Oreochromis niloticus: one gene and its partners. The protein of the gene in region 2 interacts with the protein of the main gene of each other region in a pairwise test. Links are inferred from orthologs where the notes say so. Each region holds a gene or a part of one and is shown on either strand. Other genes may lie near its edges. The genes, in order: lmo2, rint1, txlna and zgc:100829.

What was found.
Region 1: the proteins of rint1 (region 2) and lmo2 interact in binary tests that used the Homo sapiens proteins (3 or more experiments, as listed by UniProt). The two-hybrid records come from large-scale screens. The link is inferred for Oreochromis niloticus from reciprocal best matches to the Homo sapiens genes RINT1 and LMO2.
Region 3: the proteins of rint1 (region 2) and txlna interact in binary tests that used the Homo sapiens proteins (3 or more experiments, as listed by UniProt). The two-hybrid records come from large-scale screens. The link is inferred for Oreochromis niloticus from reciprocal best matches to the Homo sapiens genes RINT1 and TXLNA.
Region 4: the proteins of rint1 (region 2) and zgc:100829 interact in binary tests that used the Homo sapiens proteins (3 or more experiments, as listed by UniProt). The two-hybrid records come from large-scale screens. The link is inferred for Oreochromis niloticus from reciprocal best matches to the Homo sapiens genes RINT1 and SH2D4A.

Annotation. Positions count from the first base shown.
Region 1 is NC_031972.2:49,579,367-49,586,568, forward strand, and holds the start of lmo2 (rhombotin-2), read right to left. Parts: upstream 3,018-7,202; 5' UTR 2,566-3,017; coding exon 2,525-2,565; intron 1,531-2,524; coding exon 1,315-1,530; intron 312-1,314; coding exon 86-311; 3' UTR 1-85. UniProt on the Homo sapiens protein: Acts with TAL1/SCL to regulate red blood cell development. Also acts with LDB1 to maintain erythroid precursors in an immature state.
Region 2 is NC_031981.2:447,161-454,432, reverse strand, and holds the start of rint1 (RAD50-interacting protein 1), read right to left. Parts: upstream 3,011-7,272; 5' UTR 2,784-3,010; coding exon 2,562-2,783; intron 1-2,561. UniProt on the Homo sapiens protein: Involved in regulation of membrane traffic between the Golgi and the endoplasmic reticulum (ER); the function is proposed to depend on its association in the NRZ complex which is believed to play a role in SNARE assembly at the ER.
Region 3 is NC_031985.2:30,555,167-30,562,983, forward strand, and holds the start of txlna (alpha-taxilin), read right to left. Parts: upstream 3,001-7,817; 5' UTR 2,861-3,000; intron 2,251-2,860; 5' UTR 2,241-2,250; coding exon 2,051-2,240; intron 395-2,050; coding exon 137-394; intron 1-136. UniProt on the Homo sapiens protein: May be involved in intracellular vesicle traffic and potentially in calcium-dependent exocytosis in neuroendocrine cells.
Region 4 is NC_031975.2:13,263,145-13,270,433, reverse strand, and holds the start of zgc:100829 (SH2 domain-containing protein 4A), read left to right. Parts: upstream 1-4,285; 5' UTR 4,286-4,920; intron 4,921-5,608; 5' UTR 5,609-5,960; coding exon 5,961-6,147; intron 6,148-7,289. UniProt on the Homo sapiens protein: Inhibits estrogen-induced cell proliferation by competing with PLCG for binding to ESR1, blocking the effect of estrogen on PLCG and repressing estrogen-induced proliferation. May play a role in T-cell development and function.

The DNA of each region.
Region 1 (7,202 bases), on a different chromosome or scaffold from region 2:
AATGCATTATAAAGCCTGCATTGGAAATACGAAATGTCTATCAGTAGTCCATTCCCTTTGAATCAAGGGGAAAGAAGACATCCTCCTAAACCATATTATTATTGTTGAGCTTGGTCCACTCAAAGATGTCCTGCTCGCACACAATGTCTGAGTTGATGAGAAGGTAACGATCACCCACGCAGAAGTGCTTCTGGCAGGCAGCGCACTTGAAGCACTCCAGATGGTAAACCTTGTCCCGCACACGCATCGTCATCTCGAATGCTCGGATCCTCTTTTCACAGGAAGCGCAGAGACCGTCCTGGCCAAAAAGCCTGAGTGGATGAGAGGGCATCAACATGTTACTGGGAGGAAGATGGAAAACATTTACTCGCTCTTAATGATGTGAAGCTGTAAGAGAGACTGACAGTATCTCCATTAAGGTACTCTGGATCTTTCCCCTGAGCCTGAGGGATTGAGCTGTTAGAGAGGAAATTAGCCATCACCAGTGCTTCACAGACTTTTTCTATCCTGCTCTTCTTCAGAAGCTGAAAATGTCACACAACCACCCACGATTTTTAGCAATTATTAGCAATAATAAATGGATCAGAGCTGAATTTCTGGGAAATGGTGCAAAAGTATAGAAGGACTGCATTACCTGCTTCTTGTTTGTTTATTTTACACATAAGTTCTACAGATTTGCTTTACTTTCGGTCCATATTTTTCACCAAGTCATCCACACCCCCTCATGCAGTGGCACTACACGCCAGCAGGGGGACCCAGCACACAGTTTGAAAACCACTGAGCAACACAAACTTCATTTTGCAATAAATAAAGCGGAAATGCATTGTCATTAAAGCAACACATATCCTTAAAGTGGTGATGCAGGGCATTCACAAGCCAGGTCCGATCATACAGGTTCGGCCACTGATTGATACTACATATTTGAGAGGAGTACCCCAGTGCATCTGCCTGAGTTTGTATCTCAGGCAGAGATAGGTTAGGTAAATGTGTTTACCTGATATGTGGCTGTGCACCACACAGCTACATATCATATCAAATTTTAACATTAGTTCTTTAACAAAGACCTGCCTTCTTCTCCTGAATCTATTTCAACTTGTCCACACTTTCTTCAGTAAAAAAGTTACAGGTAGAAATAGGTTAGAAATTTCTATACTTGCTCAAAGTGTTTCTCCATGAGCCTTTAAGGTGTGATAAAAGATATACATACTAGTGCATCTCAAAAAGTGCTTCTTTTTCTGTGTGTAATTTAACTAAAAGGGTGACGACCTAATTGATTAATTCATAATATCACTACATTACACCAACTGAACCAACCTGAGGTAATCTCTCCGACACAGTTTTCTTCCCAGCTTGTAGTAGAGCCGGCGGCCCACCTCCCCCAACCGACAGCCACACAGATCACAGCTCAGGCAGTCCTCGTGCCAGTACTGCTCGATGGCCTTCAGGAAGAATCTGTCACCAATGCTCTGCTGACATCCACCGCATGTCAGCAGAGATGGAGGCATCTGGAGGACCTCATCCACCGGTTCCCTGGAAAAAGAAAAAAAAGCAATAAGGATTTAGGGCAGCATCAAATTTTTGTTTCCTTCATCAGTTAATCTGCAAAGGTTTCCCTCAGTTGTGTGATTGGTTAGTTAGTCAGTGTGACATGCAGGTCTCCCAAACAGTTTGCTAACTGATGAATCAAATACTGGAATAGAACTGTTCTAGCTCTGACACATACTTACTGGTGACCTGTTGATATTTTGCTATTATTATGCAATAAACAAACATTTCCTGATCTAAAGGCACAGTTAGTGTTCTGCATCAATATTCACACTGTGTTGTATCTAATAAGTGCTACACAAACACATGTATATCTTTTCTAATGATTTCAGCTTTGATCGGTCTCTGAGCTGGAGCTGTGTGCGCAGATGTGTTTTATTCCCGTCCACCTGAGGGAGCCATTGGATATTAAACCGCTAACTAATAAAAAGTATGTCACACAATATTGGGTTGTTTTTTTTAAATGTCGATTTACGCTAGGAGTGCCTTAGCGCTCCACTTTTTCTTAACTTTTTCCTCGCAAGACCGATTAACCGATTCGCACTACAACCTGGTTTGCCTCTTATCTATAGTTATTTATATTTAATTTAATAACTGTACAGTACTCTCTGTATATAGTAACCATTGTCCTTAATGTAAATATGTAAGAAAAATTGTGTATGTTTCTGTTCTGTGTCCTGTGTACTGTTTGTTTGTATATGTGTCTTTTTGGCTGCTGTTACAACCAAATTTCCCCTTGTGGGACAATTAAAGGATTATTCTATTCTATTCTATTCTATTCTATTAACATTAACACATCACTCTGTTCTTAAACTTTGACATTTTTAATCTAACAGCAGGAGACTTCAGACCTTATGCTACCAGCTTTCTGCAGCTGTCTCACCGGAGAGTTGTGGCTGTCCCGTGAGTGCTGATGCGTCACGGATACTTTTACTTGAATCAGAAATGACATTATTTAACATCATTCATTGCTACTTACTCGCTGGCCTCCAGCGTCTTCCTCTCTATCGTGGATGTCATTCTTCAAAGATGATGTCCAGCCTGGTCCACTGGCCAGCAAGCTCAGTGGGGACCCGCGAGGCGAAGCTGCGTGCGGGCGCTGCACCTGCTCCACCTCTGGGGCACCACCAGCACCACCAGCAGCCCGCGTCAGGCTTTCAAACGTGTTCAATCGAAGGCAGCTGAGTCCAGACGAAATGGCCGCAAGACGAGAAGTGTTCGCTTTAAGCGGCTAAGCCGTGATGGAGGACACTGTCATCATTTCCTGAGGCAGTGACCCGCGGAGAGACTTCGCGTCTTTTTTTCCAAGTGTGTCTCCTCACCCCGCAGGGACTTTGCTGCCTGTCCGCTCTTTATTAAAATGCACACGCCGTGTGATGCGATCAGAAGGTCACTTACGTGGCTCTCCGTGTTCGTGCCTTTTCATAGGCGTGCGAACCCACATGAAGCCGCGGGCACCGTTATTGTGCAGTAGCAGCAGCATCGTGTTTTAAATACACCCCCCCCACCCCTCCCCGCGCGCCCTTCCCCTCCTCACACCCCCTCTCTCTCGCTAGTCAGGCTGTGCTTTCGTTTCCCTCTTCCTGCTCACGACTGTTTGACAATGGGGGGAAATCGGTCTTAAAGCGACAGCTTAACACGGCCTTGCTCTGTCAGGCGTGGAGTGGGTCGTGACTGAGGCTAATGATTATTATGCTTTGCTTCGCCAGAGTGCAGATAAGACGAAAGATAAAGAGTGGCACGGTCTAATTCTTTGGGGAGGAGTATTTGTGTTTTCTCTCATAATTATGCCCCAGGTGTTGCCGGTTCTAAAAGGTTCTGACGGTCACTTTCTGTAAGGGTTCAGACGATGATGGTTATCACTGCGTTAAGTAATGTGAACTTGAATTCAGTGGATTTATTATATTATACTTAGAAAAAAATTCCAAGGACTTCATTTTACTTCCTAAAATGTGATTTTATATTTTAGAGGTCCTACATAAACACACAGCTGAAAACACAATTGCCAGGGCCTTTTCAGACAACCAGGGAAGTCCCTTACTTTTTATTTTTATTTTTGTTGCGTAACTTCTCTGTAATGTAATCTTAGATCACTGATTATGCACAAGAGTATTTTCAGACAGTTTGAGCAATAACTTTGCATCACATATCTTCTAAACTAATAATTTTTAGGTTAATTGGCGTGGCTGTAGTTTAGGAGGTACAGCAGGTCACCTACTAATTGGTCCGATCCCTGGCTGCTCCGGTCTGCATGCCAGATTATCCTTGGGCAAGATCCTGAACCCGAAGTTGCTCTCGAAAAGTGAGGAAAAGCACTTAAGTGTAGAAAAAAAAGTGCTTGTATGAAGCACTATATAAGTAGCAGTCCATCCACCAGTTAACTCACTAGTAATTACTTTAATGTTAATATTTCCATCTGACGTTTTAACAATTATGTCAACAGTAAAATTCTGATATGTGTACTTGCTGATTCTTTACACAAAGCTCAGAGAAATTGTGAAGCTGGAGGAAGATATGATTAAGCTGTGCTTAGAAATAATCCAAAAAAAAAGAGCTTGTGAAAGCTGCCTCTGTGGGGAATTAATGCATTGATATTTCTACATAGTTGGTGTCCTCATGGCTTTTCCTTTTCAAACCAGAGCTGCTGTGGGCCCTTCTCTTATCTACTGCCAGTGCCTCAGGGCCGCCTGTAGGAGGGAGGGACACCGACAGCAGTCTGACTGGACAGGGAAGATAAAGCACCTAAACTCCAGCACCCAGAATCAGTTCTGCAGCCAAATGTAACAGAAAAAGATCACAGGCGAACTCTAAGATGAAGGCTGAAAGCATCCTTGGGCCACACAGTTGGAGAGCTGAGTAGACTCACTGGATTGATACCAAGCTGAGAAAGCCCAGGAGCAAGGTGAGCATGGCTGTTGTGTGCCAGCTACGCAGAAAGCAGAGCAGCTTGACAGAGATAAAACTCAAACTACAAATCCTTCAGATGAGAAACACGTTCAGATTTTGTACAACACAATAACACAATGAAGGGACCATTTTGACTATAGTGACTTTAATCTTCACTAAATAAAAATGTCATGCAGTTAATCCCTCTTGCTTATATACAGTGCGGGAAATCATTATTTTATCCCCTGTAGATTTTGTAAGTTTGCTCACTTACAAAGAAATGAACAGTCTCTAATGTTTGTGGCAGTTTCATTTTGATAGAGAGACAGAATATAGAACAAAAATCCAGGTTGGTTCCCACAGATTGACTGCTTGCCATGTGGCACATAAACTACAATCAGTCAATCAATTACAGATAATCCTGATCTCAACTTATTATGTATACAAAGCACAACTATCCACTGAATCATTTTTTTTTCCATTCCAAGACCAAAAATCTGGCAAAGGATGTCAGGGACAAAAATTTAGTCCTGCATTAGGCTGAAATGAGCCACATGACCATCAGCAAGAAGCTTGGTGAGTAGATAACAACTGTTGATGTGACTATTCAGAAATGGAAGAAATATAAAATGAGCATCGATCTGGAGCTCCATGCAAGATCTTGCCTCAAGGGGTGAGGATGATCATGATAAAGGTTGTGGATCAGCCAAAAACTACACGCGAGGAGATTGTTAATGATCGGAAGCAAGTCGGGACCACAGTCAGAACACCATTGTCAACACACTACACTATAATGGATTGAAATCTTTCACCCGCAAGAGAAGTCTTGGGAGAAAGAGCTGTGGTCAAATGAAACAAAATCAAGCTCTTTGGCATCAAGTCAACCAGCCATGTTTGTAGGAAGAGAAGTGAGTATGACCCAAAGAACACCATCGTCACAGTCAGGCATGGAGGTGGAAACATTATGCATTGGGTTTATTTTTCTGCTAAGGGTACAAGGCAACTTCACTGCATTGAGGAGCAAATGTATAGGAGCATGTACTATAAAATCCTGGACAACAACCTCCTTTCCTCAGCCGGAACACAGAAGATATGCTGTGGATGTGTCTTCCAGCATGACAATGACCCAAAGAGATCACCAAGGTAATGAAGGAGTGGCTAAAGAAGAAGCATGTTAACATCTTTGAGTGGTCTAGCTAGTCTTTAGGCCTCAATCCTATAGAAATTCTGTGGAAAGACCTGAAGTTTAAAGTTTCTAAGCAGCAGCAACGAAACCTAAAGTATTTAGATAGTTTATGTAAAGACTAGTGGGCCAAAATCCCTCCTCAGATGTGTGCAAACCTGACCAACTACAAGAAATATCTTAGTGCTGTTTGCAACAACAATTTCTCCACCAAGTATTAAGTCAAGTTTTTCTTTCTTTCTGGATGTTTGGTCGACATTCTGTCTCTCTCCATTAAAATAAAGCTACCATAAAAAATAAAGACTGATCATTTCTTTGGAAGTGAGCAAACTTACAAATTCAGCAGGGGATCAAGTAAGTATTTCACCCATATGAACAATGCAATTTTCCCTTGGTATTGTAATCAAATGATTTGCACTATTCTTGAGCTTTCAATGATGTCAAATAATCAAATAATGAATTAAATAGCTAAAGTTTTATTGACTGAGTGCCAATTTACGGTGCCACATATCAACAGTTTCATTTAGCACTGACTGTGCTAAATGGTGGTGGTTTGTAATAGTCTTTTTTAGTTTTTGGTATTTTAACTTTCTCCTCTCTGAAACAATCAAACAAAGGAAATATTGAGGCTCACAATCAATGCTACCCATGAATACATGTGTAGTGATAATATTTGAATCCTTCCAGATTGCCACGTTGCATGAACACAAAGCACATGAACAAATTCATGACAGATGAGAAACACAAGAGAGAATACAAAATCAGCACTGACATGACACAAGTCATCCACTACTTCCTGTGGAGTTGACTGAGAGAGCCCAGAGGATGTTCAAACTGGCATGCAGAGATGAAGCTTTCCTGAAGGGTTGGTGCACATTGCATTCACTTCCTACCCCCCTACATGCACGATGGCACCCTTCTCATGGTTTCCCAGATAGACTGCTAGACTCCAGATGGCTCGGGGTGATAGGAGAAAGTATTCTCATAGACAACTCGAGGCTGTTGTGACTGGGTGGTAAAACCCATATCTCTGTTCTAACGCTTCTTAAATGCCACCAGAAAGGAGCTGCACTTTACTGTAGATCTGACATCCATGTGTCACCCTACTTCTGTAATAAAACTGAAAGGCGGGGGATTTTCACACTTCATGCTTTGAACTTTATAGCATTTAAAATAAGGGCAATAGTGACCTTTTATGTGAAATGTGGTTTGCTATTTTCAGCTTTTATTCCTCTCTGGGGTACAAGTTGGGGAGCAAACAGTTAAGAGTGTAGACAACCTTTAGGGAAGTGCATGTCCAACTTCCTGTTTTGCCTGTTTTGTACTGAGAGCATTATGGAGTTGAAAGCAGTGTGGAATGTCGGGGGGAAAAAAAACATTGCTGCTAAGCAAACAGTAAAATCATACAGAAGCTAATCATTTCAGCAAAGAATGGGAATTTATTTCCCAAGAAATAAAATATTGAAAGTTCTTGCAGGCAAATTTCCCAAAGTAAAAGACTATGGACATGGTGTTGACTCTACGATTGTGCAAACTCTGGAACAGCATCAGTAAAAACAACTACTTCCTGTCCAATCTAAAGTGAAAT
Region 2 (7,272 bases):
CTAATATGCTTAATTGGTAGTAGGCTTTCGAGCCTATACAGCTTGGAGTAAGACAACATGCATGAAGAGGATGATGTGGACAAAATACTCATTTGCCTAATAATTCTGCACTCCCTGTAATTATAAAGTAACATATACTATATCAATATAAACGATATTGTCACATCTTATATCTGGTATAAAAATATATCGATATATTTTAAAAACTCGATATATCGCCCAGCACTAGTTTCACCCCAAGTCCAGCATCCTGAGGCTGCACACTAAGCACAAGGAAGGAGGCCGGGGACTGGTGAGTGTCAGCACCACACAGGATGAGACGTCAAACCAGTGCAGGTGGTGGGAGACAGAAGGACTCTGGGCAAAATAACATCTCTGATGGACAGTCTCCCACCCCATGCATGTAAATGTTGCTGAACTGCAGAGCCTGCATCCTCGATGCATGAAGGAGCGTTTCCGCAGGTCCTTCCTCCCTGCAGCTGTCAGACTGTACAATCAAAACTGCTCCCAACAAACACAGATGTTTACATCAGCGCTGTCACTTGCACTATTTTATCATCCGATTCACACTACAACCTGGGTTTGCCTCTTATCTGAAATACATTTTATCTGTAAATAAAATGTATTTCATTTTATTTAATGTTAATAACTGTACAGTACTCTGTTTTTGTAACTATTGTCCTTGATGTAAAAATACATATATATATACATATATATATATATATATATATATATATATATATATATATATATATATATACACATGTATATATATATATATATATATATATATATATATATATATATATATATATACACATGTATATATATATATATATATATATATATATATATATATATATATATATATATATATATATATATAAAAAATTGTGTATGTTTCTGTTCTGTGCGCTGTTTGTTTGTATATTTTTTCTTGCTGCTGTTACAACCAAATTTCCCCTTGTGGGACAATTAAAGGATTATTTTATTCTATTCTAAACATCCACGAGTACATGAGGAAGAGGCCACAACCAACCGCGATCATCCGTTACAAAAGCAGATACAAACAGAGACAGAGCTCTATAAGCTCTCTTGAAGAGAATCCTGGATGTAACGCTAAACTTGGCATCAACAAATGTACCTTTCATTGGTACAACAAAAGACCTGCATGATGCACAAAACTGTTATTTCTTTGGAAAAGTACAGCTCTTGTCCCATTATGATCCACTGCTGTAAGAATAAATAATAACAACAAAGATGATTTTAGGTAGTGCCCGAAAGCACAGACACACTGTATGTTAGGCTGTCTGAAACAGTGATGTGCTCCTGGTGACTTATTTTCACTGCTGATTAAATGGAGTCAGTAACTTAGTAATAACTCACTAACCAGTTTCTGTCTGCTAAGATGAGACGATGAGCTCAGGGTAAATGAATAAAACAAAAACGTGTTTCTAGCGTCCAAAACAACAACAACAACTGTTCCTGTAATCACCATTAAAACCTTTACTGGGAAGAAGTTGGTGTGAATCCTTCAAACCACCGCATTAACAAACTCCAACATGAGGAAAAACAACGTTTTTAGCGATATTTAGAGATATTTCTGAGGAGAAAATGAAGCTGCTCTCCAGGTGTGTTCAAAGCCACCAGACAACAGGGGGTTTAACCCAACAAGCAGGAGTTTGTCATTCAAGTCTTTTTTGACAACACAGACTGGAAAGCGGAGAGAAAGAGCCGGAATAGACTCAACACAATCAAAACACTGACTTCTGGCAGTGGCTCATACCAGCGCCTCCCACTGGCTGCCTGGAGGAGTACAGTTTGATTTAAAGCTATATAAACTCTAAACTGAGCTCAAAACAAGGTACAGTATATACAATCACAGTCAAAAAATTTATTCCTAAAGAGATTTCTACCATAAATCTAATTTAACTATAAATAAGTGCATAAACTTCACAATAACGCACAAACGTGTTTCTCTGACACTCAAAACCTTTTGGCGAGGACACAGAAATGTGTGAAAATACAGTGTTATAGACGTCTTACATTTTTAGTTTACTGAGTAAAAAGGAGATATATAGAAACATGCACCGTCATACTGTTCCCACGCCAGTGTCCACATAACTGCACCACTACTAATCTCATATCACCTGTAAGTTATGTTGCCTGGCGCTGGGCCTGTGCACGTTTTCACTGAGCTGTGATTAGGAGACAGATGCTGGCTGGCAGCCCACAGTTCATTCAGTGGGCTGTGAGGTCACTGTGCAAATGTCCTGTTTATAAAGCTGCAGTCAGCTGAGACTGAAGAAGTCACCTGGATGATGACGAAACGTTTCTCCCACTGAAAACGTTCAGATGGACACAATCAGCCTTTTGGGAGCAATTACAGGGTTTGTTTGTTTTTAACTGTGAGACTGGGTTGCCAAATTTCCGAAACAATTCACGGCCGTAAGGGTAACACCTGTCACGATGTTACTGACACAGCGAGCAGGACAACATCTCACGCGTGTCTTCGCTGTGTCTCGGTATATGTGATGATTTCTGTGCGTTGTTTCGTTCACCTGTTCCTTCAGCGTGTTGTTCTGCTCGGTCAGATGCTCCATCAGCTCACCGACGGTCTTCGAGCACATCAGCTCGGTGTCTCTGTCCTCCAGGAAACCCGCCACGAAGTCCTCCGCAGATAAAGCTTCGCGGTGTGGTGCTGCCGTGTAAGCAGGCTGTGGGGAACATGCTGTTATTTCACTCTCTGCTCGCTCTGGCGTTCCTGTTACGGCCGCCGCCATTTTTCCTGTCGAATGCAACGATCGCCTTCCTCGGAGGCGCTCGTGAATTGTATTTGGGTAACCCGCGGGAGGAGGTCACGCGTGCAGCGGTCACGCGTGGTTACACACATGCCAGACTTTCATATTAAATCTTCCTTTATAGATTGTCTCACATAAAGTGTGACCACGCGTGTCTTGCTATCTTGTAAACTGTAGCCATTGCTGCTGTATGGCCCGTGTTTATTTCACTAACACGAGGAGTACGCTGGAGGAGAAAACAAGCCCACAGTTGTCTGAAAACGCTTACGTCACAGATGGCACCGTCCGCTACACGTCAGCACATTCATTCATGGTACCGGGTCCAGCACAGCTGATTCTAGTATCGATACCAAGTAAATACAGGGCCGATACCAATACTATTGAGCTACAGAGGTACCTTAAGTAGGGGAGCGCGTGTCATGATTTATGACATGACTCATCACAGGTGTGCAAATTCTGAACACAACTTAATGGCCACTAAATCACTGAGATTCTACAATAATGAATAACACAATGAAAACACACCTTTCAGCCTTTTGTATTTGGACGACTGAGCTGTAAATGTGTCTGTCTCCAACACACAGCTCAGGCTGTTTAAACGTGCTGTTGGCTATAAACAAGACACAAGATTCAGACATTTTTCATACTGGATGTTTGAGGTATATTTATTTAATTCACAAAAAAAATATAATTCAGTGAATTTAGACGATAGAAACAAAGTATCTATCACACTACTATCGATCCAATACCAATTCCAGTGTTGTTGTCGATACTATTAATAATTGGATCAATGTGCCTGCCTCTAATTCATGGATAAAGATGTATAGTGCTATTTACCTAAGTACCTGAGCGCACAGTTAAACTGTAGCATAATTTCTGAGTGTGTGTAACCACACTTGCAAGTTTCCATGCATTAGTTAACTATAACTGGATATATGGTCGAATGTTATGTCGTCTGTCTGTCAAACTGATCTTCAGAATCAGAATCAGAATACTTTATTGATCCCTAGTGGAAATTATTTCATCTCGATCTTTGTGACCATTCTGTAGAACAGATGTACTCTCTCTCCCTTTCACTTCCTGTCTCAGCCTAATGTTTTTCATGTTAGCGCTTCTATTTTTCACAAACACACACACGTGTCTCATTGTCATTTTTGAAGTGGATTGTGAAGACCAATATAGGCTATCTATTAATTTAAACACTGGAATCCAAATAAATATTTTTAAAAATGCAAGGAAAACCATTAGCACTGCAGGTGACCTATTTGTTAACAGTTGTCACGATTCTCATCACAAATTAGCACTTCTGGTGTAAATATCTCATGAACAAGAGAAAGCCATGCAGGTTCATTGTAATGGAAAACTCAGACTGAATAAAACATAATTCCCAAGTCATAATATATGTCATCCACAGCAATATATTCAATTCAATTCAATTCAATTCAATTCAATTCAATTCAATTCAGTTCAATTCAGTTCAATTCAGTTTTATTTACACAGCACCAAATCACAACAGCAGTCGCCTCAAGGGGCTTTATATTGTAAGGTAGACCCTACAATAATACACACAGAAAAAAACAGCAATCAAATGACCCCCTATGAGCAAGCACTTTGGTGAGAGTGGGAAGGAAAACCTCCCTTTTAACAGGAAGAAACCTCCGACAGAACCAGGCTCAGGGAGGGGCGGGGCCATCTGCTGCGACCGGTTGGGGTGAAAGAAGGAAGACAGGATAAAGACATGCTATGGAAGAGAGACAGAGATTAATAACAGATATGATTCGATGCAGAGAGGTCTATTAGCACATAGTGAGTGAGAAAGGTGACTGGAAAGGAAAAACTCAATGCATCATGGGAATCCCCGGCAGCCTACGTCTATTGCAGCATAACTAAGGGAGGATTCAGGGTCACCTGGTCCAGCCCTAACTATATGCTTTAGCAAAAAGGAAAGTTTGAAGCCTAATCTTGAAAGTAGAGATAGTGTCTGTCTCCTGAATCCAAACTGGAAGCTGGTTCCACAGAAGAGGGGCCTGAAAACTGAAGGCTCTGCCTCCCATTCTACTTTTAAATACTCTAGGAACAACAAGTAGGCCTGCAGTGTGAGAGCGAAGTGCTCTAATAGGGTGATATGGTACTACAAGGTCATTAAGATAAGATGGGGCCTGATTATTTAAGACCTTGTATGTGAGGAGCAGGATTTTGAATTCAATTCTGGATTTAACAGGAAGCCAATGAAGGGAAGCCAAAACAGGAGAAATATGCTCTCTCTTTCTAGTCCCTGTCAGGACTCTTGCTGCAGCATTTTGGATCAGCTGAAGGCTTTTCAGCGAGTTTTTAGGACATCTTGATAATAAAGAATTACAGTAGTCCAGCCTGGAAGTAATAAATGCATGAACTAGTTTTTCAGCATCACTCTGAGACAGGATATTTCTAACTTTAGAGATGTTGCACAAATGGAAGAAAGCAGTCTTACATATTTGTTTAATATGTGCGTTGAAGGACATGTCCTGGTCAAAAATGACTCCAAGGTTCCTCACAGTGTTACTGGAGGCCAAGGTAATGCCATCCAGAGTAAGAATCTGGTTAGATACCATATTTCTAAGATTTTCAGGGCCGAGTACAATAACCTCAGTTTGATCTGAATTAAGAAGCAGAAAGTTAGCGGCCATCCAGGTCTTTATGTCTTTAAGACATTCCTGCAGTTTAACTAATTGGTGTGTGTTACCTGGCTTCATGGACAGATAGAGCTGCGTGTCATCTGCATAGCAGTGAAAATTTATGCTATGTCTTCTAATGATGCTGCCTAAGGGAAGCATGTATAATGTAAACAGAATTGGTCCTAGCACTGAACCCTGTGGAACTCCATAATTAACCTTAGTGTGTGAAGAGGACTCTCCATTTACATGTACAAATTGGAGTCTATTAGATAGATATGATACAAACCACTAACCCTTGCCTTCTATGAGCCAATCAGCTTCCACTTTGTGTGTTTTAAATCTGTACTCTCCATCCCCCTCCCTTTCAGACCTTTCAGATTGGTCAAGCCGACCTACTCCCTGTCTCCAACTCACAGACACCTCAGTCTGAGCTCCATCCAAGCCTCTGACTTCATCACCATGAGTTTCCAGACTCAGAGGGGTCGGGATATCAGGTACAAAGATAGTGAGCACAGGGACTCCCCAAGGCTGTGTACACAGTCCACTCCTGTACACCCTCTTCACCTATGACTGCGTCCCCTCCCAGAGCAACACCTCCATCGTTAAGTTCAGCCCAGCGACACAACCATCGTCGGGCTGATCACTGCTGCAGAGGAGACTGCTTACATGGAAGAGGTGGCTCAGTTGGTGTCCTGGTGCCTGGAAAATAATCTCTCCTTAAATGCTGAGTAAACTAAGGAGATGATTATTGACCTGAGGATGAGGAGAGACCAGCATGCCACACTATAAATCAATGAGACTCAGGTGAGAAGGTGAAGACCTTCAAATTCCTCAGCACACACATCAGAGAGGATCTCACCTGGACCCATAACACGCGACAAATCATCAAGAAGTCTCAGCAGCGACTCTTCTTCTCAAGGAAGCTGAGAAAATTTGGATTAACCCCCAACCTGCTCAGCACCTTTTACAGATGCACAGTGAAGAGTATGCTGACAAAGTCCATCACAGTGTGGTACGGGACCAGCACCACTCAGGACAGGAAGGCTCTGCAACATGTTATTAAAACATCTGTGGAGTACCCACCCCACCCACCTACAGCACACACTGTTCACACTCCTGCCATCTGGCAGACACTACAGAGTGTGAAACCAGGGACAATCCACAGGCCATCAGGCTACTGAATCACTGACTAATTGTTGAACTGTGATTACGTTTAACCTGTAAATGTACAATTTTGTACATTTATATACAACATAACACAACTTCATACAATATAAACACTTTAATATTGCATACTCTGTATATATTATCACTGTGACAGTATTGCAACTACTTTGCACTTTTTTCTGACTACACCCACACACAAGCTACAAATGCTACAAAGCACTTGTTTGACTTCATTTATTATTTTCTATGCTCAGGGTTAAATTTAGTCTTTATTTTAATTAGTTGTTATTCAGTTGTGTGAAAGGAACCTGCAAAGTAAGAATTTCATTGCTCTGCGTAACCACTCGTGTTTTGCGGTTATATGACAATAAATGGCCTGTATTTGTATAGCGCTTTACACTACATTCAGTCATCCACCCATTCACACACTCACACACACATTCACACACTGGTGATGGCAAGCTACATTGTAGCCACAGCTGACAGAGGCGTCCCAGGGCAGCTAGGCAAACAGCAAACTTCTTGAATCTATGTATTTTTAAAAAATACAACAATTAAAGGCTGAAACACAATAAAATGAAATGCATATATATGTGAATTTTATTCTTTTTTTAATGATAATAATACATTTTATTTTAAAGCGCCTTTCA
Region 3 (7,817 bases), on a different chromosome or scaffold from region 2:
TCATAAATTTGCATTTTTAGTTGATTACTCACAATCTTTCCACTTGGATCACTCCTTGTGCAGGGCGCTCACGCTAATTTCTCCCACTTATTCCTATAAATCTGGCCAAAACACTGAACACACTTCCCCCTCTTACCTAGACCCTTCACTTTTTTCTTCTCCTGAGTTTTCTTCTGCTGCTTTCCCACACCGCTGTCACCACCATTGACTTTGCTTTCCTCTGGCTTGTCATCTTCCCTCTCATTGGTCAGGCCATTGAGCTCTGGGCTGTGTGACTGGCCGTTAGCTAAGGCGCTGGCGTCGTCTGAAATGCTTTCCCGACAGTAGGTGCTAAGGATGTCCTCCAGCTGCCGGCTCAGCTCCTCTGCCATGTCACACTGAGACAACGGAGCCTCTGCAGTTACACAGAATGGAGGGGAAAAAAATGACTCTAGCTGCTTTTCTTCTTCTAAAGTCAAATATGTTGCAGTTTGGTTTTTCAGTTCATAATAAAAAAAAAATTTTTAAAAACAGACAATGTAGAATTCGACAAATATAACGAGAGAAATATGAAGCTCACTCCCTACAAGACCATGTCAGAAATACTCCTTTAAAACAAAAAAAAAACCAAAAAAAAAACACCTAGATTATCAGCTCAGCAACAGTTTAGAAGTTTAGACAGTTTATTTACAATATCTTGAAAATAAATGAGAATCTTTAATTGATTTGTGATTTTGAGATGCTTTTAGGCACCGTCCTCAACCACGACGCACATCTGAAGGCCTGTGACTGGCGTTATCATCACAGATGATCACATGGTCAGCGTTTCTACTTCCTAACTGTCACTTTGGCCATGCTGGATCTCACTTAGCAAATTAAAGGCTTAAGAATAAGAAAAATGAAACAACTAATAATAATAACAACAGCAAGCAAACTATTCTAAGCAGTGTAGAGTCTGCAAACATTAGTGGTGCCAGCATTATAATATGGAGCCGGAACCTGCTATTAGTAAATTCTGCCAGTAGACTATCATTGTCCGTATCTGCTAACACTGCTTATGATGCGTGCATCTAGCATGGCACTGAAACTGATGCAGAAGCACTTCATAGCTGGAGCTTGACAACTGAGATGCAGAAAATGAAAGAGGCACTGAGCTTTTTGATTGTATACTTTGTCATACTGCTGCTAAATGCTGTTTGTCTGCAGAGGGTCTATTGTAGGGTCTACCTTACAATATAAAGTACCTTGAGGCGACTGTTGTTTTTCACAGCAGTATTTGAATTTATCAGTGAGGGGATAACTTTTCCTCAGTATAAAAAAAATAATTATCCTAGCATCAATATCAGGACTCACAAATGTCAGAAAATTCCTGGAGGGAGACTGCTGAAACTATCGGAATGGACGTGAAGGAATGTACACTAAGAGGGAAAACTTCCCTGAAAAAAAATTGACCACAGCAACAAGCGAGGACCCAGGAGGCACTGCATGTGAAACACCGGGACAAGGCCCTATGTTAATTAACAAATAATGCATCAGCACCAGCATAAATGCACTTACATAGGTTACATCTTAGGCTCTACAAAGATTCCCCACAGAAGTCTAAAGCAGGCCGGAGAGTGCAACCCCCCCACAGCTTGTAGTGGGAAGGACACACTAACTAAAGCACTGGATCATATGTTGCTATTAGCAAGCTTCCTTGCTTCAAATCAGAATAAGAACTATCACCACCAACTCCCAGGCCAATTAGGTAGACAGCAGATGAATAATTTTCAAAAACGAAAGATTTTAGAGCAGGAATTTCTAAACTACAACAGTCAACTGAAAAAAAATGTGTATGTGTGCCTCCTCCTCTCACAGGGACTAAACAGGTACATGTACCCTTCTGGCTGGCAGGTTAATCAGTGAAATAGAGAAAAAAGCTCTACTCCTACATCTTGGTTGCTTGGTAGACATACGCATGCACAACTGGGAAACAAGATGACAAACTTGAGTCACAAAGACTGATGATAGGAAGGTTTTAGCCTACTATATAATCTAGTCCAGCTGGGATTGACATGAATTCAAAGTTTACCTCCCCCTGCCCCCTCCTCGCCCTGTGGCGGTGTATCCGTCTGTGGTGTCTGTGGTTCAGACTCTTTGGGGCTGTTGCTTTCCAAGCTGTCCTTTGCAGCTGCAGGTGACTCTGTCCCTGCTGCTGCAGCTGTGGGTGGAGCATTCTCAGCAGCCTGAGTGGTGGACTCTTCGGTATCTTGTTTTTTCATCTCTTGTTACCTGTTACAAGGAGAAAAACCTGCCATGGTTAGCTCAGAGGGATGGAATGTAATAACAGCAAGTAGACTTATTTATTGAGCAACACTTAATCGTCAGCGCAAATGAGTCATAGAACATTAAACGTAATAAAGTTTCTCTTTCCTAGCCTAATAAAGCCTCGGCTGTATGGGGACACAAACAAAGTGGCAGCAGCCGAACCACAAGCGAAATAAACCTGTAGTTACTCCTGCTAGCTGTGCTCCTGCGCAGTGCAGTAACGTTTCCTGATGGACTTGTTTTTAAGTTTTGGTTTTAAGACAAGCTCCGCACGATTGGTTTGGTGAAACCTGAACTTTAGCCTGGAAATTCATATCCATTTCTATCCTCCAAACATTAAAGAGTAACTTTTTTTAGCTGCTTTCTTTTCTACCGTGCCCTGTCCCCATTAGCTTTCACTTTGCGTTAGCTAGCAGAAGCCGCCAGAAGCAGCTAAACTAGCTTACACAACTGCCAGGTAGCCACTGTGAGCTCGTATATATCGGGCACAAACTACTAAAACAAGAAGGCACACTACACTGCTACTTGCTTATAAATGATACATGTTGTTTACAGGTAATATACAACTGTTTACCTTTAGAGTCAAGGAGGAAATTGCTAATGTGTCTGTAGGTTTCCTTAACAGCGTGAGACAGAAAAAAAAAAACCTCACTTCCGGTAATAACTTTGGGTTCTTCTTCTTCTTTGAGGTTTATTGGCGCTCGGCAAACAACTTGTTGGTGCTTTATCGCCACACGCTGATCAGGAGGGTCAATTACAACGTTACAAAGCAGCCCCTCAGTCAAATTAACTAATGCTGAAATTAACTAATGCTTAAATATGGCGTGATAACACATTTACTGATAACATTTTCATCGTGAGCTTTTCAATAAATTGAGTTATTTCTTCCTATATTTCTTATAGCATAGCATGTGTTCTATTGTTTTCTCCTATCCACAGTTGTAACTCTTGCCTGTTTTATGTTTCCCTATTTTAAACAGTGCACGTCAGGGGTGTCAAACATAAGGTCCAGGATTAGCCGGACAAAGACCCACTGGGTGCATTTGGAAAATGTGATGAAAGACATGAATTTTTGGACTTATAAATATAATTTAATACATTTCGCAGCTTTTCTTACCGATAAAGATCTTCCTCATGGCTATTTTAACTACAGCAAATTAGTTAAATAACAGGTATTGACCATAGAAATTGTAATTTTTTTTTTTTACAAAGGGTCCACAAAAAAGGTCATGTTCTGTGAATTACCAGAAACTTTCTGTTTCTGGACCATCTGAGCTACAACTGATGTTTTTTGTAATTTTATACATTTACTTCTTATAATTTAAGCCCAAAGAGTCATACTGAAAGACTGATTACAGTAGCATCTCTTTATCACTGAAAAACAGATATTCAGATACACATATTATTTTTATTAAGATGTCCAATTGATTAAATAGTAGTTCAATTCGTGTACAGAAGGGGGATTTTCACTGGTTTGTCCCACTTAAGATGAAAATAGAATGAGTTTGACATTCCTGGTGTACGGTTTAGTTCAGGGTGTAAAACGCTTTTACAGATGTGTCCAAAAAGCAATTTCTGATGTTTCTATAAGTTTTCTATGTGTAGTACCTTTGCTTATAATTTTAAATAGAGGTGTCAACATGATTCATGAAGGGGTTATATATAAAATAAAGAAATGAACTGTATCTTTAAATCTTTAAATTCATTATAACCAATCCAGTCCTTTTTGGTCACAGTGTTTGCTACTCTCTTTGCCAGATCTCTCTGGAAAATACATTTTAATGTCAGTCAGATGCTTTACCAAGCAAAGCCACTTTGCCAAAAACTAATTGCAGCTTCTACCTTGTGACAGGAATGTCCTCTCGGGCTCAAAATGACTTGATGTCATTCTGCCAAACATGTGTTTGCCACATGTTTGGCAGAGCATAGGCCAACATATCATTTTAAACCAACTTTATTGAAAGTTGCATTGGGATCAAACACCACTGTGTACTTTTTGGGAGTAACAGACAGACTGAACTTAGATCAAAACTCACCATATATTAATAGATTTGTTCAATCATTTTCCACCCAGTTTTTACAATAAAACCCCAGCTGATCTGCTGAAGGTTTCTTCCTGTTAAAAGGGAGTTTTTACTTCCCACTGTCACCACGTTGTCTGACTGTTTAGGTTTTCTTTCACTTTTTTTTAAAAATTTTACCACCAATCACTTTTTGGCACAACTGGTTCCATCCTGCTAACTTTATTTATCCCAACTTGCATCTGTATTGTCATCTTTTCCTCCTCCCGCTGATTTTGCAGCCTTTCTTTCAGTTTTTGCTCATTTCTGTCTCCCGCTGCAGCTAATTGCTTAATCAATTAAAATGCTTTTTGTTTCTATGTTTGAAAACCTTGTCTGACATTTTGTTTCTTTTTATATCATAATGGGCTGGTACACATAAATGACTGAAAGCCCCATCATACTGCACCATAATCCTGCAATGAGAAATTCTGGATTTTTTACTGACCACAATCATTTGTATAAATATAACTGCGGTAAATTTAAGTATGTTCCTGCCTGTGCTGTATGTGCAAATCCTTTTAATGCTAATGATGTGTTTGATGTTTAACTGATCTGTTTCCATTTGTGCTGCTTTCTGTCACACTGCCCTACCAAGCTTGTTCATTTTCATTCTCTTTTCTCCTTCCTCCATCAGCATGTGTGGTGTTGGTGTTGATACAGTAGCTTCTTCCTGAAATTCCTACTTCATGAGTTGTTGGGATCTACAGGATTCCAAGTATTTTTTATTCAAATAAAAAGAAAGAAAGACATAGACTGTATATTTAAAAAAATCCATATGTTAGTATGACCTTGTTAGCCATTTCTGTGTCCAAACTGAGTTCAACTGAGTTTGAAGTTAGTACAACATCTTTAGATGGAAAGTAGCGAGCTATGCTCTGACTGAAGGATTTCTAAAAACCTGAAACATACAGCTCTGCTTTCACTCTAGATGGAAAACTAAACAGCAGCAATGTTTGCATGAAAGCTGGACTACCTGGTGGCTACTACAGAGCTCTAGTCCCATTGTCATGGTTAACAGAGCAATATAAACAGCACAGTTAATGGTTGAGAGTCCCTGATGGGCAGATAAATGCAACGGCAGGAAAAAGATGATGAAAATGGACCGAATGTAAAAGACCAGCCTCTGAGTGAGTCTTTCCTGAAGACTTCAAATATTTACCATTTGACAAACTGTCAACCCATGGGTTGTAGCATCTTAAGGCCTAAAAAACCACCTACAATAGGTGAAGAGTGTCTGAAAGTCATGTATACCTTACACAGGACCTGAGGGATCCATCTGCTGTTCACTGAAGCCTCATCAGAAATGGTCTGAGTGGAAGAATGGCTTCCAAAAAGCCAGTCTTAAGGAGGCTGAGCCAAATTACACAAGAACTGGACTGTAAAGTCAGTGGCAACAGGTGTGCTGGAGCAATTAATCCAAATTTTAATTTATTTTATGTGAGCAGAGCACAACAGTAAGTGCCTACAGCCATCTATAAAACATGGTTGAGGAAGAAAAACTGGCGAAATTCTGAATGCAGAAAATATGATTTTGATCCAGCATGCAGTCTCCATCTGGAAAGTGTCTGACTGGCAACAGCTTTATTTCTCCGCATGAGAATAATCCCAAACACACTACCAATGCAGTAAAAGCATACGAGCATAGAAGAGAGAGGGAAAAAAGTCAAAACACTGTTGAACACGATCAGTCATGACTGGCCTGTCATTGTGCGATCAGCTTGACAGGTAAAAGAACAATAGCTTTGAATGTCCTTCAGTAAGTCTGGAGAACGACTCCTGAAGAAAAATTTCCTTTGAGACATTAAAAGAAAGTTTGTCTACGAGAGTTCTGTGTTTAATACAACTGGTGACACCCAATCCTGAACATCAGGCTTGTAAGAATTATACCAACTGTTTTTGCCTTCTATGGCATATTTACATTAATGTTTCCACATTTCAATAATTATAAATCTAAACAAATTATGTTTCACATTAAATATCACCGTCAACATTCCAACATGAAAGAACACTGAGGAAGAAAAACTCATTAAAGGGTTGCAACATAACTTTATTGGATTTGTACAATATTTCCACTGAACAGTTTTTTTTTAACTCTATGATTTCTTTACATTTTTTATATTGTTGCCATTTCCTGTATGCATCTTTTCTTCATGTTCATGTTTGTGTGTCATGTTCAGTTTTGAAGTGTACTAGTTTCTCGTCGCTCATTCATACCGTCGGTAAAAGTCAAGTCGAGTCACAGTTTAAAGATGGGTCGTTTGGAGCAAATGAAAAACCATAAACAAGAATAGAGAAAATAAATACGTGTAAAAGAAATGAGAGGACCAGAGCAGAAGCACGACTGGTCAGTGATGGCATATGAAAAGTATTATTACAAACACGAAGCATTGTAAACATTTGTAGCGTAGACGTTGCTTTAGATTTTGATAAAGACACCAACAGCTCCTAGGACGGAAGACACGTCAGATTTGTGATTTTTAGTGATTTCTGTTCAATCCCCGATAGATTACAAGATTCCTGATCACGCAGCCTGACGAGGAACTTTAAACACATTTATCCAAAAATATAGCCCAGAATATCCTGATCAGGAAAAAGATCAAGAAAAGCAAAAACAAAAAAGAGAAGCTTGTATCCTCACCACCTATTTTTTTTTTTTTTTTTCGTGTGACATGTTCTAATGAGGCTTTTTCTCCACTTCTTAGAAGTGATTAGAATTACATCTGAATCCCTGTCAATGTATCAGAACATACATATAGTTTAAATTATAATACTTTTAATGTAAATCATTGTACTATTTCTGAATCCCAGATTTATTTAAACTTCTTTTGTTTTTATCTTAGAAAAATGTCAAGTAGTAGCCTGTGTTCGCTCCACCCAGTGGAAGGAGTGTCACCTGTGAGAGCTGCTCTTCCTGTAGGTGGGCCTTTGCCTCTCGGGGTGGCTGATTTTCTTTTTTTTTGGACAATGTTTTATTGCAGTCTTCTGGATTAATCTGCACATTTTTCCAACTCCTTAAAGAGCGCCTGAATTTAAGAGAAAAGAAAACTCAGGAGTGAGAGAGCATGCCATCTAGTGCGGCTTCTAATGAAGAGAGGCAAGGTTTAAACGGCCTGAAGGAATCTGTCAGTCATTCTGACCGGGTCGACACAAGCCAATCACATAAAGTCATACAAACTAAACATCAAGGAAATTTTTCAGCCTTCTTGAGGACAAAACTTTGGTAAACTAACGTGGACAGTTAGGTCAGTACCTGCATCTGTCTGCCCTGACAGCTGCTTAGGATTCCATTATTTGCATTATGTGCCACATCATTACAAAGTTTGTATCAGTGCAGAATTTTTTTTTTTTTTTTTTTTTGCAGAGGGCGACTGGCTGCAGGTCGTGACATCATGAATATGAACCCACTGCTCATCTGTGCACAGTGAAAACTATTAGAAGACTGTTACAGAGGGGACCATCACACCAATG
Region 4 (7,289 bases), on a different chromosome or scaffold from region 2:
TTTACACATAAATCATATGAGGGCTAGGCCTGCTTCGGAAACTGATAAGATTTCATGCAGTACATATATATATATATATATTAAAAAAAACAAAACAAAGGAACGTGTAGGCATTTTCATGAAATGAAATAAGTGCTCTATTTATTGTGCAATATGCATTGCATATAAGGAACTGGTCATTGGATCTTGACATTTGCCAGAGGCATTCAAAGATATATTAATATTGTAACTTTTGTTTCAGTTGAAATTGTTGCCATGCAGATGGATATATAATAGACTACCTTTGTGTCTCGTTGTTAATGCAATGTGTTCAGTTTAAAGGTACTAAATGTGTATTTGATAGAGGAAATGCAGAGACAACATGTAGCAAATGGCCTGAACTGCAGATTATTTAACAAGGCAAAAGACCCTGAATATACTGTGTTGATTGGCATGGTAAAAACCAGAAGAGCGCAATCGGTTAGTACATATGAAACAAACTTTTTGTGATCTTGTTTAGTCATAAAAGTCTAAATGGTGCCAAGGAGTGCTGTTGCTGCATGTTTATCTGCACTACGATTTCGTTGGTCTCCCAAAATATTGGCTCAAAGACCCTTCCATACGTATCTTTATCTGCCTATGTTGTATGAATCTCAAGTTCGAGGACTGGGGGGGGATTACCATCCAAAAGGCTCGGTGTAGTTCTAGTGGAAGTTGTTTCAAAGCATGATTGTAAAAGCAGCGACCTTGTGAACAGTAATCGAAATGTCACCATCACACTATGAGGAGGGCCACTGAGGCGCTTGCCTGGCTTAGCCGAGGTGAAGACAGCCTGGTTCACCTGTTGGTGAATGTCTGTTATGTCATTGGATGTGCACATTCCTTTCTTGCGTTTTAAGATCTTAGGGTGTGAAGTTCAGTGTGGGGCTACTTTGGATACATTCTCATAGCTCTGCTTTAGATTTGTAAGCCCAAATACCCACCTGGGGTGATGAGATTCTGTTCTGGTCTAATTGTAAATATTTGGGCTGCCACACGGAAAACAACTGGTTCTAATCCAGTTCAGTCGCATCTCATAGATGTGTGATAGCAGTTTTATAAACTCTGTCAGTAAACTCCAGAGAAACTGGCAACAATCAGATAATGTCAGATTTACCTCAGCATTGAATTAAATGATTGCTCCCATGTTTAGATTGACTGGAAACCAGCAAACTAGACTGTCCTTGACCACCTATTTTTGGAGCCTTTGGTATAGCCTAAATGATACCTGATTGGGAGCATCCTCTTCAGCATATAAACAACCTGGTGCCTTACACACTCCGCATGCTTACACGCTGGCCTGGTGCTTTGGATCGCAGTTATGGCTTCTTTTTGTTTTCTTCTTCTTCTTCTTCTTCTTCTACTTCTTTTTTCAAATCTCCTCTTTCTTCTATTTCTTGTGTCTCAGCCCCCTTGTGTGCTAGCGCACGACTCGTGGTGCTAAAAGGGTTTGTTACAAACTCTTTAGAAAAATAGGAGCAGAATTCTTAACTTTTTTCTGCTACCTTTCAGCTTCCCTCCCCTCGACTTTATTGCCATCCCCATTCCCTAGCCATCCAGGTATCGGCCTACATGTAAACATGGAAGGGGGTGGTCACCTAGATGCAAGATGATGCAGAAGAGATGGCTCTTCACCAGCCATGTGCATTAGCAGGGAGAGCAGGGGCTGATTGGGAACATCAGTAGTGGCCTGAAATGGTATCAATTGTTACGGGAAAGCCCCACCCCACCCCTTAAAATGCTCGTTTTATGGCTTGGGTTAGTTATGTGTAAGTTGTAAGTTGCTCAATTAATGGGGAGTAGCAAGCATGTCTTGTTTTGTTTTGTGTTTTTTTTTTTTTTTCTTTGTTTGTTTTTTTTTTTTTGTTTGTTTTTATGTAGTTTTACCTTTTCAGCATTATTCCACATTATTTGTAATTTTGGAATGTTTTTGCCCACAAAAATATCTTTTTTTTCTTTCTGTGCAACATTTCATCACTGTGTGCAATATCATATGTGCCAATGGTGGCAATATATGTATATCAATTAAATATATGATTACTATTTGAAAGCATATGGCTGAATTCCATGTTTATTTCTCATGAAGGAATTGTACGCCTTTATTTGCACACAAAGCTCCATCCTGGAGGAAAATATAGTAAACCAAGGTCTTAGCAGCCTGTTGAGTCAAGCAGTTCACGTACGTACTTTAACTTGAAATCGAACATTGTCCCTGCAAGTATGCCCCTCTCAAGGAAAAGGGTAAACTTGGTTAATGGTTTGTTCAAGGTAGACTGTAAACATACAATGGAGTTTTTTTGTTTGTTTGTTTCTTTGTTTTGTTTTTTTCTTTCTTTTTTTTTTGTGAAAAGGAAAATTTAAAAAGAAGAAAAAAAAATCCCTGGAATCTCCATTTTAGCTTTAAGCTAAGAAAAGGTGCTTCAGTCCAATCCTCATTAAGGTGTATGGTGAACTGTCTTCAGTGGTTGTTGTGTGTAGCACTTTGCTTTCCCAGGTTAATGAAATGCCTGACCAATACTTGTTTAAAAATGATCTCAACAAAGAATGTTGTTCTCTTTTCTGTTACCTCTTTTTATTTAAAAAATGAGGTTATTTGATTTGCTCATTTGGTTTTTGATGCATTCAATATAATTTATGTACATTTGACAAATTATAAAAAAAGAATAAATTTAATTTACCCATGAGGGGGAAAAAATCTACATTCAAAATGTATGTGTTTTTCATGTTTCATTTCTTGTTGTGGGATGGGGGTGGGGGAAATCACTGAAAAGTCTGTTTAATTTTTATGTAGTGTTGTCTACAATGTCTGATTATACATTTGCAATGATACTAATTGCTAAAGCTTAATTTTACAGCCTATAAAATGCAAATTTTGCAATGGCGAGTACCTGATGACTCATGTCTTCTTAGAGATTTCTACAATAGTACTGTATGTGTAAAACCAGGCTGTAAAATAAAGCGTTACTTTGTTCTCTGACTATCCCGACTATGCAATTTGTGATCATCTGTATGCAACAGTTGCTCTTCTGTGAGTTTTTCTGTTAATCTAAAAACCAAAAAAATAAGACTTTATTGATCGTGACCCAACAGAACCTGCACATGTTTTAAGTTAAATTTTTGTAATGATTGTTTTTCTTTCTTATTTTTTTTTCTTTTTTAATACGTTTGGTGTCGGATTTAAGCTAAAAATCAAAGTTAAAGAAAAGCTTAAAGTTGCTTCCAAATGTTTTTAGGATGCGTCTCAGTATTCTTGAGTTTATAGCTATTTATAAGTAAAACTGATTCCCTGTAACAAGTTGAAGTCTTGGTTTAATTCTGTTAATAAAATGAAATGACATAGAAAATGTTAATTATCATTATGTAAATTCTGAAAATTGGCCAAGTGATATCAGCAGCACCCTTTGGGTTGCTTCTAGGTCCTAAATCATGGAGCATAGAGGCAGATTTATTTCTGGGCCATCCACATGGAGTACATTTGTATTGCTTCAACCAGTCTCCTATCAGCAGAACCCACATAAGAGTAAATACAGCATAACGAGCTGCGAGGTCCATTCTCTAGACATGCCCAAATGGTATTTCTCCAGGACATATGTATGTTTGTGCTTTGTTGTTAGTTGATAGTCCCAGCCTGCCGGATGGGATGGAGGGTGAAAGAACTGAAGTGGATGTGCTATACCGAGATGGACTCCAGCCCAGATGCCAGCTTACACTCCGACTTTGCTCCTCATCCCAGAATCTACACAGAGAACTGGTCTCTGTCGTCACAGCATGACTAAAGCATCCAAACAAGGATAAACCCCATTTAATCAAACAAAAATTCCCTTATTAAACATAAAACACATTGTAAAGTGTTCTGATGGTGTTTAGTCTGATCCAAGGTGCCACACTTTGAATCTATGAGAGAACTTACATTTTATTAATTTTGAAACATGACCATTATCACATGAGCACTTTGTCACCGCTGACTATAACAAATGGCTTGCTACAAAAGCATCCTGCCTGTCGTTACCTTTCAGGTGCAGGTGTCTGCATGCATTGTATATTTACGCTGTTTTGCAGTTGAAATTTATGGAGCCATGCGGTCAGTGTGCACAAGCACCAGTTTTTATCCAGCTTTCATTTAGTGCTGTAGTCTGAGGTAGTTGAGCACTGGCTTGGGTGGTGACGTAATCCATGGCAGGCTCCTTTTCTTTTTTTAAAATCACAGTAATTGCTTTAACCACTAGAGGCCGCTCTTTACCTAAAAATGAGTGGCTCATAAGCAGAGGAGGACAGGCTTAGCTGAGAAAATTTCCTCTGGCTTGAATGTGCAAACTATCAACAGACATGGTAAATTGAACAGCAAACAGTTACTTGCATAAATCCTAGAAGGCACATCGGTTGTTTCACATAATGCTAGAAGCTGTGCTAAAGTTTTGGGTAATGCTAAACGCAAACGTTAGCAAATAGCATTTCTTAATTAAAAGGCGTCGTTAAAAGGGAAGAAAATACAGGAGGAAGGGAGCTATTTTTTCTTTGTTGCATTTTTTTAATATTGTTTGTGTAGAATTATATGTGTAAGCGAAAATGTTTTGAAGATATGTAAAATACGTGTGTTATGAACATGAACGCATGCCTTTCTTTCTAGCATATTTAAAGTGAGAGTTCAACTTCCTGAGAGCAACTCAGGAAGTTGAAATGTGGCCTTAAATGTAGCCTTAGTGTGTGTGTGTGTGTGAGAGAGAGAGAGAGAGAGAGGCTGTCAGAGAGAGAGAGGAAGGGAGAGGGAGGTAAAGAGATTATGGAATGCTGTGATGTCATCAGCTCAGTCATACACACAAAGACGAGGAGGACCCACAGGCGCTGTGACTCCCTCAGCTCAGTTAGCATACTCTGCTGTGGAGCGGCTGTCTACATCCCACTGTGAGTACTTCAGCAAATTCTAACCTTCTCTTGCAACTCCCTTTTTGTTTTGTAGCACTCATTTTCTCCACTTCACCCCCTCCCCCCTGTTTTCTTTGGTTTCCTTCTCTGCACCCTGCGGTGTGTTTAGCAGACACCAATCTGTATTCCACCAGTGTGATAGTTTTCAGTCTGAGACGAGCTTTCTTTCCCTCCAAGTGCTGCCTATGTGGTAGCCATTGTTTAACTACCCACTGTGACTGGAGGAGTCCATTTCAATCCTCTTGTTAGACAACCTGGCTCTCGCTGTCCAGTGCTATGACCCAGATTTTTATCCCTCATTACAACCAGACACTGGCCATGTTTTAAAAAAAAAAAAAAAAAAAAAAAGAGGCGGGGGGCCGCTATCTTGTGAGAGTTTTAGAGAGAAACGAACATGGTTTTGGGGAGAGGAAGGAGCAGGGTGGGACACTGATGTCAGAAGCAGTCCCATTCCTTTGGAATCTCCTCCCATTCTGGGTAGCAGACTTTCTGTAAAGTGTTGAAATTGGCTTTGGGCTCTTCCGTATTCATGCAGGGAAGGACAAGACAACTGCCTTAGATATTTCTAGGAAATAAGAAAAGAAGTTTCTTAAGAAAATATGTAAGACACTGCAGCTTTGAAAATCATGCAAGATGATCTTTACTGTGTGTTTTGTTTTTCTCATAGATTGTGCCAAAGATGACCTCCAAAGAAATCTGACATCTTGATGGGGAAACTGAGCACAATATAGAAAGGAAGCAGGATTTGTGAGTGTGTGTGAGAGAGAGAGAGAGAGAAAGACAGACAGACAGAGTTTGTATGTGTGAGATAGTACAGCCTGTACAAAAGCATGTGTAGAAAGAGCAAGAGCCTTAATTCATGAGTTCAAGAGTGACTATAGGGACAAAGAAGAAGCTACAAAAGTCCTCTGCTGACATGAGACCATAAATCATCCTTACACACTGTACACTACGAGAAGCAAGCTTCAACTGCTTGCCAAGTGGTACCAGGTTAACGCACCAACCCTTCGGCCGCCAACATGCTGCAGCAGATCTTAAAGGACATGTACATTGACCCTGAGGTGCTGGAAGCCCTTAACGAAGAGCAGAAAAAGACACTGTTCCTGAAAATGCGCCAAGAGCAGGTGCGGCGCTGGAAAGAGCGGGAGGAGAAACTGGAGAGAGAGGGGGGCGACGCAGAGTCCAAGAGAGCAAAGCCAAGAAAAGGTAACCACACTGATCCATCACCACCACAGCCGCCACCTCACCCTTTTTAACCTTCCCTCTTCCTGTTTATCTCGAATCTGAAGCTGCAGGGTGCAGCTTCAGGTTTTTCAGGCCTCCGACTGTCACGTTTTCACAAAGGTTCCACAGGAAGCCATCTGTTTTCTTCTGAGCAAGCGCTTTTGGAGTCCTTGGAGTCGAGATATATGAGTAGTGTGCTGAGAATTATCCGATAGAGCGTTACAAAGCTTGATAAGGGAACCACTGAAGCATGTGTACGTTGGCTGTGACAGATATCCTAAGCTGCTGGAGTTTGCATGCTCCCAATTACCTGAACAGCTGTTTGTCAAAACATGAAGTGAGCATCAAAATAAGTTTTGTTTTGTTTTTTTTTGGGGGGGGGGTTGTTTTGTTTTTCTACAGCTCGTCCTAAACTATTGCAGATCTTTATTTAAATATCTGTTATAATTGCACTTTTTATTAAATGCTTCACCCTCCACAAGGTGAAAATAGTTTGACCGTATGGTCTAATTTCCTTGTCTTCTGAGCCTCATTCACACAGACAGAAACTCTAAATTAGATCATTTTATTTCCAATTGAAACATTGCAATGTGAGGTCCCAGATGTTGCTCATATCTGGAATTCTGTATTTGATGACAAATAAATGTCAGAAGAAAACATCCACAGGACAGGAGGAGATGGCAAAATAACGCCTCTGTAGGGAAATTTACAAGTTAAACGAAGAGTACATGTGTTTATCAGGTGCTGACATAAGATATGATAACAAATACTGTCTTTTTCCCCATACTTGGTAAATTCTTTTGCTCAACCTAGGTGGTGAGAGTATGCATGGGAAAAACAAAACAAGCAGAAACTCAGGAAGCTGCAAGCCTGTCGTGAAACTGGTTTGACAAAATCTTGCGTGTCTGCATTTTCTCTTGTACGTCTTTTGTATTAAGGACTTCTGGAAGAAGGGCGTTGCGTAACAACATGAACATAACAAATTGCTCTATCACCTTAATCCAAACAACAGGGGCAAAGTTAATTTATTTGGATGAGTGCAGCAGTTACTTAAACCACAGTGATATCACAGCATGACTTAAAGCCAGTTGATGATTGACACAGTGATGTGTTCTGTCTGGTCT